Coturnix japonica: one gene and its partner. The protein of the gene in region 1 interacts with the protein of each later gene in a biochemical or structural test. Links are inferred from orthologs where the notes say so. Each region holds a gene or a part of one and is shown on either strand. Other genes may lie near its edges.

What was found.
Region 2: the proteins of SHQ1 (region 1) and DKC1 are reported together in a solved structure, tested with the Homo sapiens proteins (2 studies listed by BioGRID, with this or other methods). The link is inferred for Coturnix japonica from reciprocal best matches to the Homo sapiens genes SHQ1 and DKC1.

What each region holds. Positions count from the first base shown.
Region 1 is NC_029527.1:13,898,974-13,907,441, reverse strand, and holds the start of SHQ1 (protein SHQ1 homolog), read left to right. Parts: upstream 1-4,134; 5' UTR 4,135-4,151; coding exon 4,152-4,184; intron 4,185-4,214; exon of another isoform or gene 4,215-4,411; intron 4,412-4,799; coding exon 4,800-4,984; intron 4,985-5,902; coding exon 5,903-5,967; intron 5,968-6,749; coding exon 6,750-6,872; intron 6,873-8,035; coding exon 8,036-8,187; intron 8,188-8,468. Other genes in the region: GXYLT2 (glucoside xylosyltransferase 2), read right to left, coding at 2,915-3,135. UniProt on the Homo sapiens protein: Required for the quantitative accumulation of H/ACA ribonucleoproteins (RNPs), including telomerase, probably through the stabilization of DKC1, from the time of its synthesis until its association with NOP10, NHP2, and NAF1 at the nascent H/ACA RNA.
Region 2 is NC_029519.1:2,064,888-2,073,699, forward strand, and holds the start of DKC1 (H/ACA ribonucleoprotein complex subunit DKC1), read left to right. Parts: upstream 1-2,955; 5' UTR 2,956-3,065; coding exon 3,066-3,081; intron 3,082-3,215; coding exon 3,216-3,277; intron 3,278-3,469; coding exon 3,470-3,556; intron 3,557-3,801; coding exon 3,802-3,893; intron 3,894-4,145; coding exon 4,146-4,330; intron 4,331-4,780; coding exon 4,781-4,845; intron 4,846-4,953; exon of another isoform or gene 4,954-5,194; intron 5,195-5,418; coding exon 5,419-5,545; intron 5,546-5,723; exon of another isoform or gene 5,724-5,799; intron 5,800-5,876; coding exon 5,877-6,007; intron 6,008-6,172; exon of another isoform or gene 6,173-6,306; intron 6,307-6,707; coding exon 6,708-6,851; intron 6,852-7,113; coding exon 7,114-7,234; intron 7,235-7,419; exon of another isoform or gene 7,420-7,665; intron 7,666-7,944; coding exon 7,945-8,063; intron 8,064-8,140; exon of another isoform or gene 8,141-8,216; intron 8,217-8,596; coding exon 8,597-8,700; intron 8,701-8,812. Other genes in the region: probable G-protein coupled receptor 34, read right to left, coding at 1-145; 40-kDa huntingtin-associated protein-like, read left to right, coding at 1,597-2,658.

The DNA of each region.
Region 1 (8,468 bases):
TGCCCCAGCAGTGGCTGTTATATGAAACACATTCTCTCACGCTCTTTAAAATATAAATTAGAAAGTGTCAAAATGTTTTTAAAATAAAAGCTCTCACTTTAATGCAGTCGCACAAAATTCACTGTAGGCTCCGACAATAAGAACTGTTGAAGTCTCAACCTCCTCCCACCACTCAGACTAAGAGGGAAAACACTCAAACCAGAACAAATGTTTCCATCTTCCTTTATCAAGAATGTTCTTTGTTGGTGAAGTATGAGATATTTGGGCCATTGGCATGTTATTATGGCCTATCATACTCAAGCCAAACTTGCATGTGTCTTGCACACAGGCAGAAGAGAGAAAAAAATTATCTTGACTGGTTGCCATAGAAGACGCACTTGGCTTTGGCAAAGTTTCTATTAGGCATGTTTAGTTTCCTGGAAGAAAGTGTGGTCACATCTGCCCTTCAAATGTGAAAGAACTTTTGTGCTTTACGATACCTCACACACACTGATCTGGCACATATGAGTACTCCTCATATGAAGAAAACCCTGTTGAAGCTACAGGACTTGCCTCTTCCAAAAGGAATCATCAGTAAAACCACCATCAAACTGGCTTTCCAAGCTGACCAGAATGTGATGCTTACCTTTGGATTTGCCCAGGTCATCTAACAACCAAGGCAGGGCACACGAGTTCACCAGCAGCTGCCAGGCACCAGCCTGTTGGTGATGCACAACTAGTAGAGCTCTGAACACGTATGACTAGAGTAGAAGAAACGTGCACGCCTTAAGGATTGAAAATGAATGTCTTCTCATGTTGCACAAAGCAACATTAGGGAATCCCAGTGCCTGCAGCAGGACCTCGTAACCCAGCGCACATCCCATCTGGCCCCAGTTCAGACACAAACCTGTATCCTTCTGGCAACACTGTATCAATCAACGTGGGAAAACAGAACCAAACGATTCTTCACATTAGCACGGACATAACTTCAGTAAAGTTACCTTAGAAAGTTCACAAACTTCAGTCAGTCCACAAACAAACCAGCAGCAGACTATAAGGTCTTCCATGATCAGATCTCCCATCCCAAAGGAATCAGATCACACACCACCCCTCACATGGATTTAAAAAATCTCCCTTGGCTCATAAGGAGTAACTAAAATAATCATTGTTCCATAGGAATGAACAGGTAACAGTGACCTCAATTCAGCACGTTACATCTGATGTGCTTTACTACAAGCACCTGTATGAGGAAATGCTCCTGAAGGAACGGGAACACTCACTCCTGAAGCTAGCACCTATGTAAAGCACTGTTTCCTCTATTCCAAATTCAAGCCTCTGAGAACACTGCTGCTTCCAATGTATTTTGGATCAGACTTCTTAAGACAAGCAGATCCCGTTGCTGGTGTGATCCGTGCCAGCACAGCACCTGTTAGCAGATGGCTTTTGTTCTCCCAGGAATGCAGACATCTCCTCCAACCACTTCACATCATTCACAAAAAATCATTTATTTAAGACCCCACATTTTATGTTGGTGTTACCTATCAAAGTGCAGAACTGTTTGGTAAGCATCAGGACTGGATGTGTCAGTAATGCAGCCCTGGTTGGTGCCAGCAGCACAGGATCATACGCTGCCAACAAACATGGGGGGAAAAAAACCAACCCAAAGTGGAAGCAAAGGCTGAAATCCATCATTTCACTTTGTTGCTATGATTCTTCCACGCTGCAAAAGAACAGCAACAAAAAGTCTACAGCCTTTGTAACAAGCACTTGCAAAGTCATGAAGTAATAGAACAGCCTGATAAGGACAACTTTTGGAACAGGGAGATGCTCAGCGAGAAGCTCATTGAAATGGAGCCGTTGTTTACCCTCTCCAGCAGTATCATACTTTCTGCCGCCTCCCTCAGAGTTCTTGATTTCCATGATAATTGCAGAGATATGCCTTAAAGAAAAATGACTTCAGGAGGTACAGTTGCTGGTGGAAATAATCCTGCTTTAATGCATGCATTTGAATTCTGCCCATGATGCATTCCCAGCCACAGTAAACATCTCCTGCATTCAACGGGGTAACAATGCTTGCACCAAACCCACTGCTTCACTACGTTAAGGGATAAGAGCTCGAGAAACAGGAGTGGCCTTTCATTCAGAACATCTCTGTGAAATCATGAATCAAAGACACAAAGACATACCAACTTAATTAGATATGAGGTCACACTGACCATAATATAGTTGGAATGCAACAGGGAAAGCGGCCCTCCCACCACTGAAAGCACACTGCCCACATCATTCCTTGAAGTAATTAGAATACTGTTGTTTTGGGGTTTTTTAAATAATCCATCCACAAGGCCCTGATGGGGAATACAACACACAACCTCCAACTTGTTTTCTGCCACGGTTACGCATAAAAAGTGTTTAAAACAAAATACGAATAGTTCGAAATCTGACGGTGCCAAGCAGCTTGGAAAGCAGCGGTAAAGCACAAAAGGAGCCAGCACCTTTCATCTCCCCCAGCATTAAATCGGAGCAGGTCTCGCTCTCAGCGCTGACAGCAGCTCCCGAGGCAGCAGCAGCAGCACATCGTGCACGGCAGCCTTCAAACAAGGCCACAGCTCCGGGACAAGCCGCAGCTTCGGAGGATCGCTGGCACACGGAGCCGCTCCCGCCCGCAGAGCGCAAAGCCTCCACTTTCGTGGCACCTCCGGCACACGCGCGCTCAGTTAAACGCACATAAGCCTGCAGCCTAAAGCAGAGATCGGGGCAGGTTTCCACCGCAGGGAAACTTGGCTAAGGATAAGAGCGCCCGGAGGGCCGCCGAGGGGAGCGAGTTCCCGGGGCAGGGCAGCCCGAGCAGCGGGCGGCGCTCCCAGCGGGTGCCGTTCCTATCGGGTGCCGTTTCCCAACGGGGCGATCGCGTGTGGCTCCCGATCCCCGCCGTTACCTGGCAGCGGCGAGTCCGCCCCCGGGCGCGCTCCTCCGCGTCGGGCTCCGGCTGAGCCTCGGCTGCCGGCGGCCGAGGGGAGCGGCGGCGGCGGGGCGGGCGGCCGCGGAGGGAGCGGGCGGCGGGCGAGGGGGCGCGGCGGCGCTGCCGGCCAGCAGGTAGAGCAGCAGCAAACTGCCCAGCGCCAGCAGCGCCGCCGCCACCTTGCACGACAGCCGCATGGCGACGGCTCAGCGCGACCGCCCGCCCCTCTGCGCGCCCGCCGCCATCGCCGTCACCATCGGCCGCGGCCCGGAGCGGGGACGTGGCCGCCGAGCCCCGGCCGGCGCCCGGCAGCAGGGGCGGGGCGCGCCCTACCGTACTGTCTGGAGTAGCCGCCCCCAAACAGCGCTCGGGACGGAGGAACGGGAGGAAGGACGCTTCGTGCGGAGCACCGTGCCGGTGAATTAGTGACAGTCGTCGCGTTTCCCGGCAGGAGGAGGCTGGGCTTCGCTGCGGTACTTACAGCTACCTCCGATTTCCACGTTCACACAGGACTCTGCTCGTGTGGGGGCTCAGTGCGTGTGGATGGAAAGGTGAGGAGCGGGAGGGGACAGGGGATGCGGGCTGTTCACCTGCTGCTGCTGCGGGCATCGTGCAGCACATCGTGCAGCACATCACACTACTGTAACTGCCGGGCTGTAACGGGACCAGCCGCAGAACAGTGCAGGAATAAGAACGTTTTAACGCTGGGACTTGTGTCTACATCGTCATCTCCTTTCTCCTCCCTTCGTAGCTGATGTTCAGCGTCCGACCACAGAATCGTTTGGGTCGGAACGGGCTTTTAAAGCTCATCCAGCCCAACTGCCCCGCGGGTACAAGGACACCCGCGGCTCTGCTGGGCGCTCACAGCCCCCCGGCATCACAGGGAATGTCTGCGGGCCGCAATGCCCAGCACAGCACAGCACAGCACAGCACAGCACAGCACAGCACAGCACAGCACAGCACAGCACTGCACAGCACTGCACAGCACTGCACAGCACTGCACAGCACAGCACAGCACAGCACAGCGCAGCGCAGCACAGCACAGCACTGCACAGCACTGCACAGCACAGCACAGCGCAGCGCAGCGCAGCACATGCCGCAGCTCCGGCTGCACACAGCGGCACTGCGGGGCACGCTGCCATGTGTCAGGGTTGTGTCCGCTCCCGCCGTTCTCTGCGGGCGGGCGGCCCTCGGGGCGGGGCCGTTCCCGTGCATGCGCACCGCCTGCCCCGGCTCCACGGGCGCGGTGAGGGCGGGCGGCGAGTGGGGTGGGTGCTGTGTGTTGTGCTGCTGTGTTGGACGGTGCGGAGCTGCAGGCAGGACACGGCTCGTTTCTGAGGCTCAGCATCCGCGTTTGTCCACAGGGGGGAGGTGGTGGGTCGGTTAGTGGGTCCCACTCGCGTGCACAGGAACTGCGGCCCTCGTGGAGCGGGTCGGTGTGCGGTACGAGGTGCAGCAGTGCTCGGTGTGTGGGTTCGTGTTTGTCCTTATGTTCGGTGTCCGTGTGCGCTCACATCAGTGGGAGGTTGGAAACAGTTTGCAGAGTTGATGAATTCTAGGACTGGATGCGTTTTCCCCTTAATGAGTGCAACTAGTGCCCTGTGCTCTGCGTGCTTCTGTTTATGTACATAAAGCTGTGTTGCAGCAAGTGCAGCAAGATGGACCTTCAGGCCACGAGTGGAAATGCTTTTATCATCATCATCATTATTATTATTATTAATATTATTATTATTATGTGCTGTTGTTGTGTTTTCTTGGCTATGTGAGAATCACAAATGGCCTTAAAGAGTCTTCAGGACACGCTTTCTGCTGCTGTAAAATGGCAGCTGCAATAATTTATATCTCTTTCCCCATTTAATAGGGCCGTAGCACTGGTGGGAGCTTCTCCTGTGCTGGATTCATCATGATAACTCCAGACTTTGAGCTGAGCCAGGATCTCGATTTTCTTATAATAACCATCCGGGTGCCTTATGCCAAAGTGTCAGAGCTTGACCTGTTCTTTGAAGGGGAAGACTTCAAATTCTATGCCAAGCCTTACTTTCTCAGGTAAGCGGTGAAAGCGTTTTAAAAAGGTTGGACTTAATGAGATAAACGTTGGTAGAAAATGACCTTCATTTTGGGTCCTTCTGAACCTTCCTGGTCTGTAACTCTCACACTGTAGGCTGCACACAGCCCGTTTTCAGCATGGAACTGTATTTATGGATCTGGTACATTTGATTCCAGGTGTTGCCACCTTAAAAAGAGCTTAAGGAACTTCTACTTTTATATTAGCATTGATTTTTAATAGTAAACTGACAGCTTAATTCTTTGAATGCACCTAGGTCTTATAGAGTGTGTCATTTCCCCACTGAGAGTCAGGTATGATATATTTTGTGTGGAAAGAATTTTGATGCCTGCCTGATTAAATCCATGTGGTGCAGGTGTCAGGGAGTGAGGTTCCAGGCTTCGTTTTTTAGCAAGTGCCTTGCAATGCTATGGGAAAGAAACAATCAGCAATCTCATTGTGGAAATGTTGAGAGAATCTTTGACGTGTAAGGGCTGATGAGCCATGAACCCTTTTTATTTTCTACTTCCTGTTTTGTTGGATGTACTTATCCTATATGTGTATATATGCCATATATATATGTTAGTAGACCATAAAGGATTTCATTAGGTTGGTGGAAAGCACTGAGTTGGCTGCCTCATGTCCTGTCACAGTGGATTAGCTTAAAGGTTTTTAAATTACAGCATCTCTCAATTGCTGAAGTTAGTACTAAGGGTGTTGTGTCTGCGCTAGCTGTGACTTTGTCATTAACTTAAAGCTGCAGAGAGATTTTAGTTCATGACTTCCATTATTACCAACAGAATCACGTTGTTAAGTTGTTTGTACTGCCCTTGGAATGTGCCTTACATTTTTATGTGCTGAGATGTGAAGTTGCAGAATTAGTCAGGCATTCAATGAGACATCTCTTTATTTCCATCCAGACTGACACTTCCTGGAAGAGTTGTGGAAAATGGCAGAGAAAAAGCATCTTATGACACAGACAAAGGTATTGTTTAATATTTTATTGTAGTTGTCATGAAGAATACTGACTCTTCACTAGTTTATCTTGCAGTGGAAATGCGTGGAACTTTATCAAAGTGTGAATAAATAAATCCTGTAAATAAATGTAACTTCTCTTGTGTTACGTGGTTTTAAAAAAAGAAAACTTGCTGAGGATTTGTTGTGTGCAGTCTGTCGTTAAGTTTAAATGACTTGTCTGCAACTGTCTTAAAATACAAGAATGAAATGTGTCAAGCCCTGTTGGAGGCAGACACACCATTGTTCAAATATGTGACTTCTTCAGAGTCTTGCAAATCTGTGAAGAAGAGTGGTACTAAGCAGAAATGAGATGATCCCGAGACGTTCTCTTGACTAAGTCATAAGAGAGGACACTTTAAAGGTGGAAGGTGTTTCTGGAATAAAGTACCTTTTGAAATAAGCATACTCATAAACAGAAAGGCTTATGAAGGCTTTGTTTTGTGCTTGAAACGATAATCAGAGGGTTGAATAGCTTCTTGTAGCCATCCGTTGATGACAATTAATTGAAGTTTTTCTGTTGGTGTGTAGGTGACCACAGTTTGTTAAATGCTGTCTTTTATGCTTTAACATCTTTGATTTTTGTGTAATTTGTTATGGAAGTTTAAAAACATGTTTATATATCAGTGCGTAGTAGATTGCTACCTGCATGTACCTCAGCTTCATAAGCCTTTTACAGTAGAGGGGAAAATGAGCATTTTTGTTTGCCATGATTATTTCAATGTGGTAACTATATTCTGCCTTTATTATAAGGGACTTTTACAATTCAGTTACCTAAGGAGAGTCCTGGACAGTATTTTGAAGGTCTGGACATGCTGACATCTCTCTTAGCACCGAAGAAATCAAGGACAGCAAAACCTTTAGTGGAGGAGATAGGTATGACAAGAACTTAACTAAGTTATCAATTTAGGTACAAAATGAAATAGTTATAGATCTCCATAGTAATATATTTAATAAAAAGTGTTTCTGATATTGTTTAGGCCAAGGTAGAAGCAAAGTTTGAATGACTCTGGAATTTTGTGGGTTACTGAAAGGAATGTCTTGTAGTAGTTAATACATGTGCTATCTATGGGCTGTCTGTAGGTTAGTTATGATATCATCTTTTACAAAATGTGTTTAATGTGTGCTAATCCTCTGCAGATCTTTGTACCCCTCTAGTGGCTGTATAATAAACACACATGTGAGCCTTCCATGATGTAGCACAACTGGTCCTTTGGCTCTAAGGGCAGAAGCTAATTAAAACCACTTGTTCTAGTGGATGACTTGCTTAACATATTTTTCAGAAAATGTGACTGTCTATGATTAATTTTGTGGGCATCTGTCTTAAATTGTGGATAACTTTGTTATGTTCCTCTTGTGGTCCCCTTAGAATAAAATCCTGAGCTTGTTGAAATCAGTGGAACAATTGCTTTAGACTCTGACCGTGTGTGCTCAAAGCTTTAGTTTTCCTTGTCTCTATTCTTGCAATTTTTTTAATACTAGAGCAGGACCTGTTGCTCATTGCTGTGTGCATCTGCCTTCTCAAACACTTGAATAACCTATGACTTTTTCTGTAGTTCACTGAACTTGTTTGTGATAGAGGCAGTCTAGTCCAATGTGAACATATAGGTGTGTGCCACCCTTCAGGGTTAGGATAGAATTGGAAAATTGGGCTTGTGTGTTAAAGCAAGTGGTATTTTGCGTGTTACGGGTGGTAAGAGTGTATGGGTGCATTTTGTTAGGAGGCTGCCCTTTGCAGAGGGATGCAGCGAAGGTCCAACGATTCTGAACATCTATAGTTGGAAAGTCTGTTATGGCTGATTTGCATTCAGACTATCTGGTTTAGGAAAATTCTCAGGATATTCTCAGTGTCAGTCCCATAAAGTGGGATGTGAAATTGCGTAGTTCACATGTTTACCTTTTCCCCTTCTGTTTCTTTAAATTATAGTTAGCCCAGCACTGCAGAAGATTTCTTAAATAAATAAAAAGTGCTTATTTTGTTTGCCTTTCTTCAAATCATATGCATAAAGTTTTCTTTCTCTGATCATGCATATACCCAGGTGTCCCTGCAGAGTTGGAGGAGGAGGAAGAGGAAGAATTTGACTGGGAAATAGAGCAGACCCTTTATAAGGAAGCTGCAGAAAGTCCTTTGCCACTTCAGTGCTACTATGGGTTTGGGAATCTGCGGTCAGGGGTATTTCAGAGGCTGCAGGTAAATTAATTCTTTTTCCTGTCATAAAGATTCCAAGTACCTTTCTCCTTGGGTGGGGTTCCTGGTTCATTCTGTAGCCAGGAGAAGATTGTTAGGTAACAATTCTCCATTGCTGAATTCTAGCTGTGTTTCTCCTGTGGATTAGTTGGTAGAACAGGAGCTTCGAAGTGTCTTTACTTTGCTCCTGTCTGTTCAGCAGTTAAACAGGCAGAAGCTAATCTACAACCAGTAACATGCTAAGTAGGATGATTTTCATAGCATACAAAGCTTTAATAAAAGAA
Region 2 (8,812 bases), on another chromosome or scaffold:
CATTGCTGAGCAGCCCAATGGCAAAGATCAGGGAGTACATCACAGGCAGCGTCACTGAGAGGAACCCATCGTGGATCTGACAGGAGTTACCCAGGAGCTGCTCAGTGACTTCAATGGTAGGAGGGGGGGTGCTCAGGGGGTCCATCGTGAGCGTGCAGACCTGGAATGCAATATGCAGGGAGAGCTGTAACAGGGTATTGGGGTGAGCTGGAAGCATGTGGGCATTGGGATACACACGGAGTACAGCCACCTGTGGTACCCAGTGCCCCAGATGCAATGGGAAAATGGCTCTGGGCAAGGAACAGGCTCTGCCTGCTCTCTGTAGGGAAATGTCTGCTGAGGATGTGCCCATTAAACACTGGTAGGGAAGCAAAGCCCACTTCTGCCTGTCCCAGCTTCTCCCAGCTCTGTGCCATGAAGGAGGTCAGGAAGGGGCAGATGAGACCGTGGAAGTATGCGGGGTGAGCTGCTTAACAGTGTCTGGAGGGGGGTCAGCCCAACTCCAGCTCTGATTTCACATGAGAGACAAAACAGGTACAGCAAACATTAATCCAGGCCATGTGCAACCCAGGGACCCAACGCTGGGCACTGACACATCCTCTGCCAGCACCTGCCCCACTGCCTACAGAGCCCTTTGTGAGCCTGTGAGCTCCTGCATGCCCCACTGCCTCCCTCCCCTTTCCACTTTCCGTGATGCTGAGTGATGGAGAGCTGCAGAACTCTCCGACTTCCCTCCCACATACCATAACTTCTCTACCGCCTTTCTTTGCTCCCTCCACACCTGCCCAGCATACCAGGACAGCAGGGCAGGGCAGCACACCTGGATGGAGGCTGCAGAGCTCCATGAGCTCGCTGCTTGTAACTCACAGTCATATATAAGCAGGGGACTGAGCTCCCCACATTCACCGCTCACAGCTCAAAGCACAGCAGTGTTGCCACCAAGCCCCTGATGGTTTCAGAGCAGCGTGCTCTGCCTGTACACCCATCACAGTGCTCTGCATATAGTTTGCAAGGGGCAGCACAGCTGAGCACACAGACAGCACGGTTTGCACACACAGGTAGCCCTGCAGCACGCACTGTGTGTGCCTACAGGCACATTAGTGTGGCAGCCACCCACAGCTGTTGTCACAGCACAACTCACGCTCCCCCTCCCAGCTCTGATCACGGCCCCCACCAGCTGCAGCCCGACCCAGAGGCACCCACCTCACCCGGCACTGCTCAGCTCCTGCACCAGCTGTGACAGAGCTCCGTGTTCCCCACAGCCCCTATAAGCCCTTGGCTGCTGACACCTCCCACCCGTGACAAGTCTCACCCCGCTCCACCTCCCCTCCCACGTGTGTTGCTGTGTTTTTCCCCTGCTGGAGGTGGTTCCCGAGGTGAGCTCGGTGCTGCAGGGCGATACTGACATTACGCGCCTCGCAGTGCAGCTCAGCAGCCACGTGGCCCCGCCCCCCCCAATGGGCGTGGCTCCGCGAGACCACGCCCCCACGGGCGCCCCGCCCCGCCCCCCATGCCCCGGCAGTGGGCGCTGATTGGTCGGCGCCATGAGGCTCCGGCGGGACGCGGCGCGATCGCGTCACTTCCGTGCGACGCGTGATGCTGGCGGCGGGCGGTTCGGGGCCCGGCGGTTCGGGCGGCTCCGGAACCGGGCCGGGTCCCGGCGGCGGGGACGGGGACTTCCTGTCGCGGTACCGGCTGGTGTCGGCCAAACTGCGGCGGCGGTTCCTGCGGAAGCCGAACGTGGCGGAGGCGGCGGAGCAGTTCGCGGCGCTGGCGCGGGAGCTGCGCGCTCAGGAGAGCCTGCCGTACGCGGCGTGGTGCCAGCTGGCGGTGGCGCGCTGCGCGCAGAGCCTGTTCCACGGCCCGGCCGAGGCGGCGGCGCTGTGCGAAGCGGCGCGGCTGTTCCTGCGCCAGGAGCGGGACCTGCGGCAGCGCCTGGCTCTGCGCGGGGGGTTCGGCGAGCACCTGGCGGCGGCGCAGAGCTGCGGGGCGTTCGCCGCCCGCCTGCACCTGGAGCGGGGGCAGCCGGCGCTGGCGGCCGGGCTCTGCCTGGAGATGGCGGCGGCGCTGCGAGACACGGGCCGGCCCGCCCGCGCCGCCGCGCACCTGCAGAGGGCGGCCGAGCTGCTGACGGCCGCTAAGCTGCCCCTGGAGGCGCTGCGCTGCCTGACGGAGCGCGCCTCCTGCCTGCTGCTGGGCCGCGACTACGCCGGGGCTCTGGCCGCGCTCACCCGGGCGCAGGCGTTGGCCGGAGCCGGAGCCGGGATCGGGACCGGGGGCGGCGGCGGCGGGGCCGCGCCCGGAGGAGCCTTCCTGGACGCGCTGGTGAGCTGCGAGGTGTCGCGGGTGCTGCTGCTGCTGCTCCTGCAGCCGCCGCCCGGCAAGCTGCCGCCCGAGCACGCCCGCACGCTGGAGCAGTACTGCTGGGAGCCGCCCGAGGGCGGCGCGGCGGGCGGGGGGCTGCCGGCGGCTGCCGGTTACCTGCCCGCACGGCTGTTCCTGCTGCTGCAGTCCGCAGTGCTGGCCTGCCAGGAGAAGGACGCGGCCGCGCTGCGGGCGCTGCAGGCGGAGCTGTGGCCGCTGCTGAGCGCCGAGCAGAACCACCTGCTGCACCTCGTGCTGCACGACCTGCTCAGCCCCGCGGGGAACGGGCTGTGAGCGCCAGCACCGCCGTGCCCGGAGCATCCAGGACTGATACGGAACTGTCCTGCTCGGGGGCTGCCGGCGGGACGGGCTCGGGTCGATTGAGCCCCGCCGGCGGGGCGTGTAACACCGTGTATCACCGTGTAACACCGTGTATTACCATGTAGTACCGTGTAACACCGTGTAGTGCCATGTAACACCATGTTACGGCCCGGCTCGGGGCCTGCAATAAAGCTGCGGAGCGGGCGCTCTCTGGCTGCAGCGATTGGTTGCTGGGGCGGTGGGCGGGGCCAGTGAGTGGGCGTGGTCACGCACGGCGGGAGCGCGAGGCCCCGCCCACCCGGCGTCACGTGGCGCCGCGGGGGCTGTCGGGAAGGGGTGGTCTTTCCGCTCTCGGCGCGGCGGCAGCACGCGGTGCGGTCATGGCGGACGGGGACGGTGAGCGGCGGGACGGGGCGGGGCGCGGGGCGGGAGGAGCCCGCCGTGTCCTGCGGGACGGGGGGGGCCGGGCCGGGCCGGGCCGGATGGCGCCTCGTCGGTCCCGCGGGCCGCTGAGTGTGCCTCTCCCGTAGGTTCTGCCGTGAAGAAGCGGCGGAAGAAGGACAAGCGATCGCTGCCCGACGAGGATGTGGCGGTGAGGGCGGCGGGGGGAGCCACCGTGGGACGGATCCACCGTGGGACGGATCCACCGTGGGATCCACGTGTCCCACGGCGGGAGCGGGGGAGGGCGGTGGTGAGCGCTACCGCGTGGTGCCTCCGACCCTTCGCTGTATCCCCCCGTTGTATCCCCCCGTTGTGCCCCCTGACGCCCCGTTGTGCCCCGCAGGACATCCAGCACACCGAGGAGTTCCTCATCAAGCCCGAGTCCCGCGTGGCGCAGCTGGACACGTCCCAATGGCCGCTGCTGCTGAAGGTACCGAGCACAGCCGGGCGGTGGCTCCCCGCCTTTGGATGTGGTTCGTGTTCCTGCTCCGTGATGGGGTTTATTTGTGCTGCTCCTTTTCCTGCCCCACGGCTGTGCTGTTACAGTCGTTTTGCCTCATAAACCTGAATGCAAAGCCCCCCCTGTGCAACCAGCAGCACTGCACAGTGTTATGCTGTTATCCTCAGGCTCACCTCCATCTCCTGATACTTAACTTCTTTGCTTTGCTTTTGTAGAACTTTGACAAGCTCAACGTGCTGACGACACACTACACACCCCTCCCGTCCGGTGCTAATCCCTTGAAGAGGGAGATCTCTGACTATATACGGTGAGCAGAACAACCCACTGATTACATATGCTACACGCTGAGCTATGGTAGCAGAATGGAGAGCAGTGTTTAATCACAGCATGTGTGAGCACAGCTCCACGTGTGCTTGGTGGAGCAGCTCTGTGGCTCAGCTCCTGTCCAGCTGTTTATTCAGAAACGTTTCTGTGTTACCATGACAAACCTCATCCTGTTTTTCACATTGCTGTTGTTGGCCCCGACGTGTAGCTCCTAACCTGTCATCTCACACTATAGGTCTGGCTTCATCAATCTGGACAAGCCTTCCAATCCATCCTCCCATGAGGTGGTGGCGTGGATCCGGCGCATCCTTAGAGTAGAGAAGACAGGGCACAGTGGCACCCTGGACCCTAAAGTGACCGGATGCCTCATTGTGTGCATTGAGAGAGCGACACGACTCGTTAAGTCTCAGCAGAGTGCAGGTAGGTTCATTGCCACCAGACTGTGGTCAAAGTGGTTGAGGAGATGCAGAGCTCTTGTGGAGGCAAGGAGATATTCATTCTTGCCCTAAGCCTTCAGTGCCTTGAGCTCAAGGATTGCTTATCCATCTTGCTTCCAGCCATCGAGGGCACATCCGTGCTGTCTCAGGTGGTTTTTCTGATTGCTTCTCTGGGGCTTGTGCTCTTTTAGGTCAGTGAAAACAGGTCTGAAAGACAGGTTTTACGTGCAAACTCAACTTGAGGCACAAGTGTGTAAATCCCAAAGAATAAAACACAGCGAAGAAATAAACATGCAGCTAAGATTGGTTTGGGGGGAGAATAATGTCTGAGTGGTGTGCACCTCCTAGGAGAGCTGTTTGTATGGCAGTGCATGACTTGAGGTCAACATTAAATGCAAGTGGCCGCTCCTGACTGCTCTTGTCGTTCTTTCAGGCAAAGAGTATGTGGGAATTGTTCGGCTGCACAATGCAATTGAAAGTGAGGCTCAGCTTGCCAGGGTAAGTCTCAGCACACTGTTGGACTGTTGGCCACACTGGTACTCTGTGCAAAGAGTTCAGCTTCTGTGGGAGATGAGCGGGTAGGAGCAGAGCTCAGGTGTGCTGTGTGTGAGGTGATGATGAAGTTTATCCATTCTCTGAGTGCGCTGGCACTGCCCTCCTGCAGCACCCGATTCCTGTTCTAGGGTCTGGGTGCCGTGCAGCTCCAGGAGACCCTGCAGTGTCCCACGTCCGCTGGGGCTGCTGTGGTGTGTGGCTGGCTGCCTGCAGGAGCAAAGCGGTGCAGGCAGGGTCAGGGCCGCCTCTGGGGGCTCTGTCCTCACTGAGACGAGGGATGACATCTGATTGCATGCTGCCACCTGATGGAAATCCCAACTGTGCCTCACTGGCAGCTGTGGGAGCGTTTTGACCACATCAGTGGTTCACACCAGCTTTCTTAAATACGAGATAACCACGTGGTGATGAGCCTGTCACTCACAGAGGTCTTCAATTCCTGGAGACCCTGAGGTGCTCAGGTGTCAGCTGTACTAATGGCCCAGCTTAAGGTGTTATTTCATTTGCTTCTACCTTCAGGCCATAGAAACCCTGACAGGAGCACTCTTCCAGCGACCGCCCCTCATCGCTGCTGTTAAGCGACAGCTGAGAGTCCGGACCATCTATGAGAGCAAGCTGGTGGAGTACGATCCTGAGAGAAGACTGGGTAAAATACACCTTTCCTGCCTTTGGTTACTCTCCCAGTTCGTGTGCTGTTTCCCATTCTTTGCAGGTGTGCTGAGATACAGATCCTTGCACCCACCGAGCAGTAAATGCTTTGTGCGTTATTTACACTGAGAAACAAATCTCACCTGCTTTGTTAGTTTTGCACCCTTCACTGAAGAGCCAAATGATGTCAGCTAGATGGCATTAGCACTCAGTGCAAAGATGACCTTCATCTATCACCCCATGCTGATGGCTCTGTGAGGGGCTGGATGTGGAGCCTCTAGATGTGGCTCATTGGTAGCTGTACATATCAATTCTCTCTTGTGTTTCAGGTATCTTCTGGGTGAGCTGTGAAGCAGGAACGTACATCCGAACACTTTGTGTCCACCTTGGTTTGCTGCTCGGTGTTGGGGGCCAAATGCAGGAGCTCCGGAGAGTGCGGTCGGGCATCCTGGGAGAGATGGTAGGGGGGTGATTTGATTGGGAGTGTAACTAGAAACTGGGAGGTTGCAGGAGTTCCCCAAAATGGTCTTTCTTCTTTGGTGCTGGGGATGGGTGTAGGTGCACAGTGACTGGGAAGTGCTGTGAATACACCTGGCAGTCGTGGCACTTGCCATAGGCAACCTAGAACCAAAGTGTTGAGTTCAGTTCAGGGTCTTGTCCCTGTTCTGGTAATTAAACTTTGGGACAGAAATGACTGGGAAGTGCACCCTGGTGACTGAAAGTTTGTCTTATGCCACCTGTGTTTCTCAGCCTACAACCTACACGTGTCTGGAGTTTGGGCACACGAGCTGCTTGCTCAGCAGTGTGATCACTTGTTGTCAGGGTGCAGTGCAGGGAATAGTGTGCCTTAGCAAAGGGCGCATTTAAGCTTGGTCCCACTTGAAAAGTGTTTTACATAGACAGAGTTTGCACACTTGATCCCAGTGCAGTGTGATGTTGGGCAGGTAGAAGCCTGAAGCAGCAGAGATGAGACTGCCCTCGAGCTGCCAGCAGGACATGCTTGTTCTTGCCTTTTCTATGGAGATTTTATAGATGTTTCTGAATTGGGCACCAATTTTCTCCCCCTTCCAGCACGCTATCTGCCATTAGGCTTCAGCTGTGTCTTGTGCGTGTTTCGAGCTGGTGGCTGCTCTGAGTTCATAGGGGCTGTATCTTTGCAGGACAACATGGTGACCATGCATGACGTGCTGGATGCACAGTGGCAGTATGACAACAACAAGGATGACAGCTACCTGCGGCGTGTCATCCTGCCCCTGGAGAAGCTGCTCACCTCACACAAGAGGCTCGTCATGAAAGACAGTGCGGTGAGTTCCTGAGTTAGGGCTGCTCGATGCAGTGGTTGTGTCCTGTCTTATGCAGCTCATAAATGAGGGATCAGGGTCCTCGTGGTGCACAGCACTGTCATGTCATGTGCTGTGTAGGACCTGGTATTGGTAGTCAGCTAGAAACATGTTAGTGTTATTGTTAATAACAGTAATGAGAATGGGAAGGCAAAATTAGAGGTACTTCTTGCACTCATTTTGTCCTCCAGTTGCTTACAGGCCTTGCTGTTCCCTTCCTCTTTAGGTTAATGCCATTTGCTATGGAGCCAAGATCATGTTGCCTGGTGTCCTGAGGTATGAAGATGGTATTGAGCTTAATCAAGAGATCGTAGTCATCACCACCAAAGGAGAAGCTATCTGCCTAGGTATGAAGCTGGCTTATTCCTGTGCCCACCTATGCAGAAATAACAAACTACTTTCTGGTGAAGTTATATTAGAAGAGACCCAGTGCATGGGGAGGTTGAAGTAGTGCTTCCCTAAAAGCTATTATACAGCAAAGTACGAGGTGTTCCTCAGTGTTTCAGTTGCATAGAACTCAGGTGTGCTGTGTGTGAGGTGATGAAGAAGTTTATCCATTCTCTGAGTGCGCTGGCACTGCCCTCCTGCAGCACCCGATTCCTGTTCTAGGGTCTGGGTGCCGTGCAACCTCCAGAGACCCTGCAGTGTCCCAGCGTCCTGCTGGGGGCTGCTGTGGTGTGTGGCTGGCTGCCTGCAGGAGCAAAGCGGTGCAGGCAGGGTCAGGGCCCCTCTCCGGGGGGCTCTGTCCTCACTGAGACGAGGGATGACATCTGATTACATGCTGCCACCTGATAGAAATCCCAGCTGTGCCTCACTGGCAGCTGTGGGAGTGTTTTCAGACTGATGTGGTCATATCAGCTCAGCCTTTGAGATCGGCATCTTTCTGAAGCTTGAGTGCAAAGCTTTCCTCCAGTGAGGTTTTCAGGGGGATATGGCGTTTTGTCTTTCCTTTGTGCTGCCAGAGGAGGAGCAGCCTGAACCCAGCATACTCTTGCATCTGTACTCTCACAGTTTTGCTGTTGTGATGTGTTGGTAAGCTCCCTGCTTGTTTCTGCAGCCATTGCCTTGATGACTACTGCTGTCATTTCTACCTGCGACCATGGCGTGGTAGCAAAGATCAAGAGAGTAATCATGGAGAGAGACACATATCCCCGCAAATGGGGCCTCGGTCCCAAGGTGAGCAGCTGGGAACTCAGTGGTGTTGGTGGGTGCCCAGTTATGGGGCTGCAGGCACTTCAGGTCTGTGCTCAAGAGCCAAATGATGTCAACTGGTTGGCATTAGCACCCTGTGCAAAGATGACCTTCATCTATCACCCCATGCTGATGGCTCTGGAGGGTCAGGGAGCTGTGCAGTTGCAGTGCTTCAGCTGAAATGTGGTTGGTCATTAAGGTGGAGGAAAAATGATGGCCAAGGATCAGTGAGTTCAAGAGTTCAGTGATACGTAGCTGTCTGCTGCTGTTCTCATACAAATAGCCATTGATTACAGGTGGGGTACCCCCTGCCTGTTCCTTGTCTGAGACTTGTAGGCTGCAGGGCAGTGGGTGTTTCCTGTGAGCTGTCAGAAGGTTCTCAGAATGGTTAAGCCAGTGGCAGTGCAGTTGTTGCCTTGGCTTTGTCCTGGGTTATTCCTTAGGGTGGGTGGCCGAAGCCCAAGGGATGGCTTCTTCTTCATGAAGCTGTGGTCTGACCTTCTGTCCTTTGCTCTCAGGCCAGTCAAAAGAAGATGATGATCCAGAAGGGCCTGCTGGACAAACACGGGAAGCCCAACGAGTGCACACCAGATTCCTGGAAGAAGGAATACGTGGATTACAGGTGGGTACAGGGTATGCAGCTTCAGAGTGGTGGGTGCAGTGATGGGCTGCATGCAGTGAGCACTGTTCTGGGCACTGCCTTTTGTGCTTAGCATGTCTGACCTGGTCCAAGG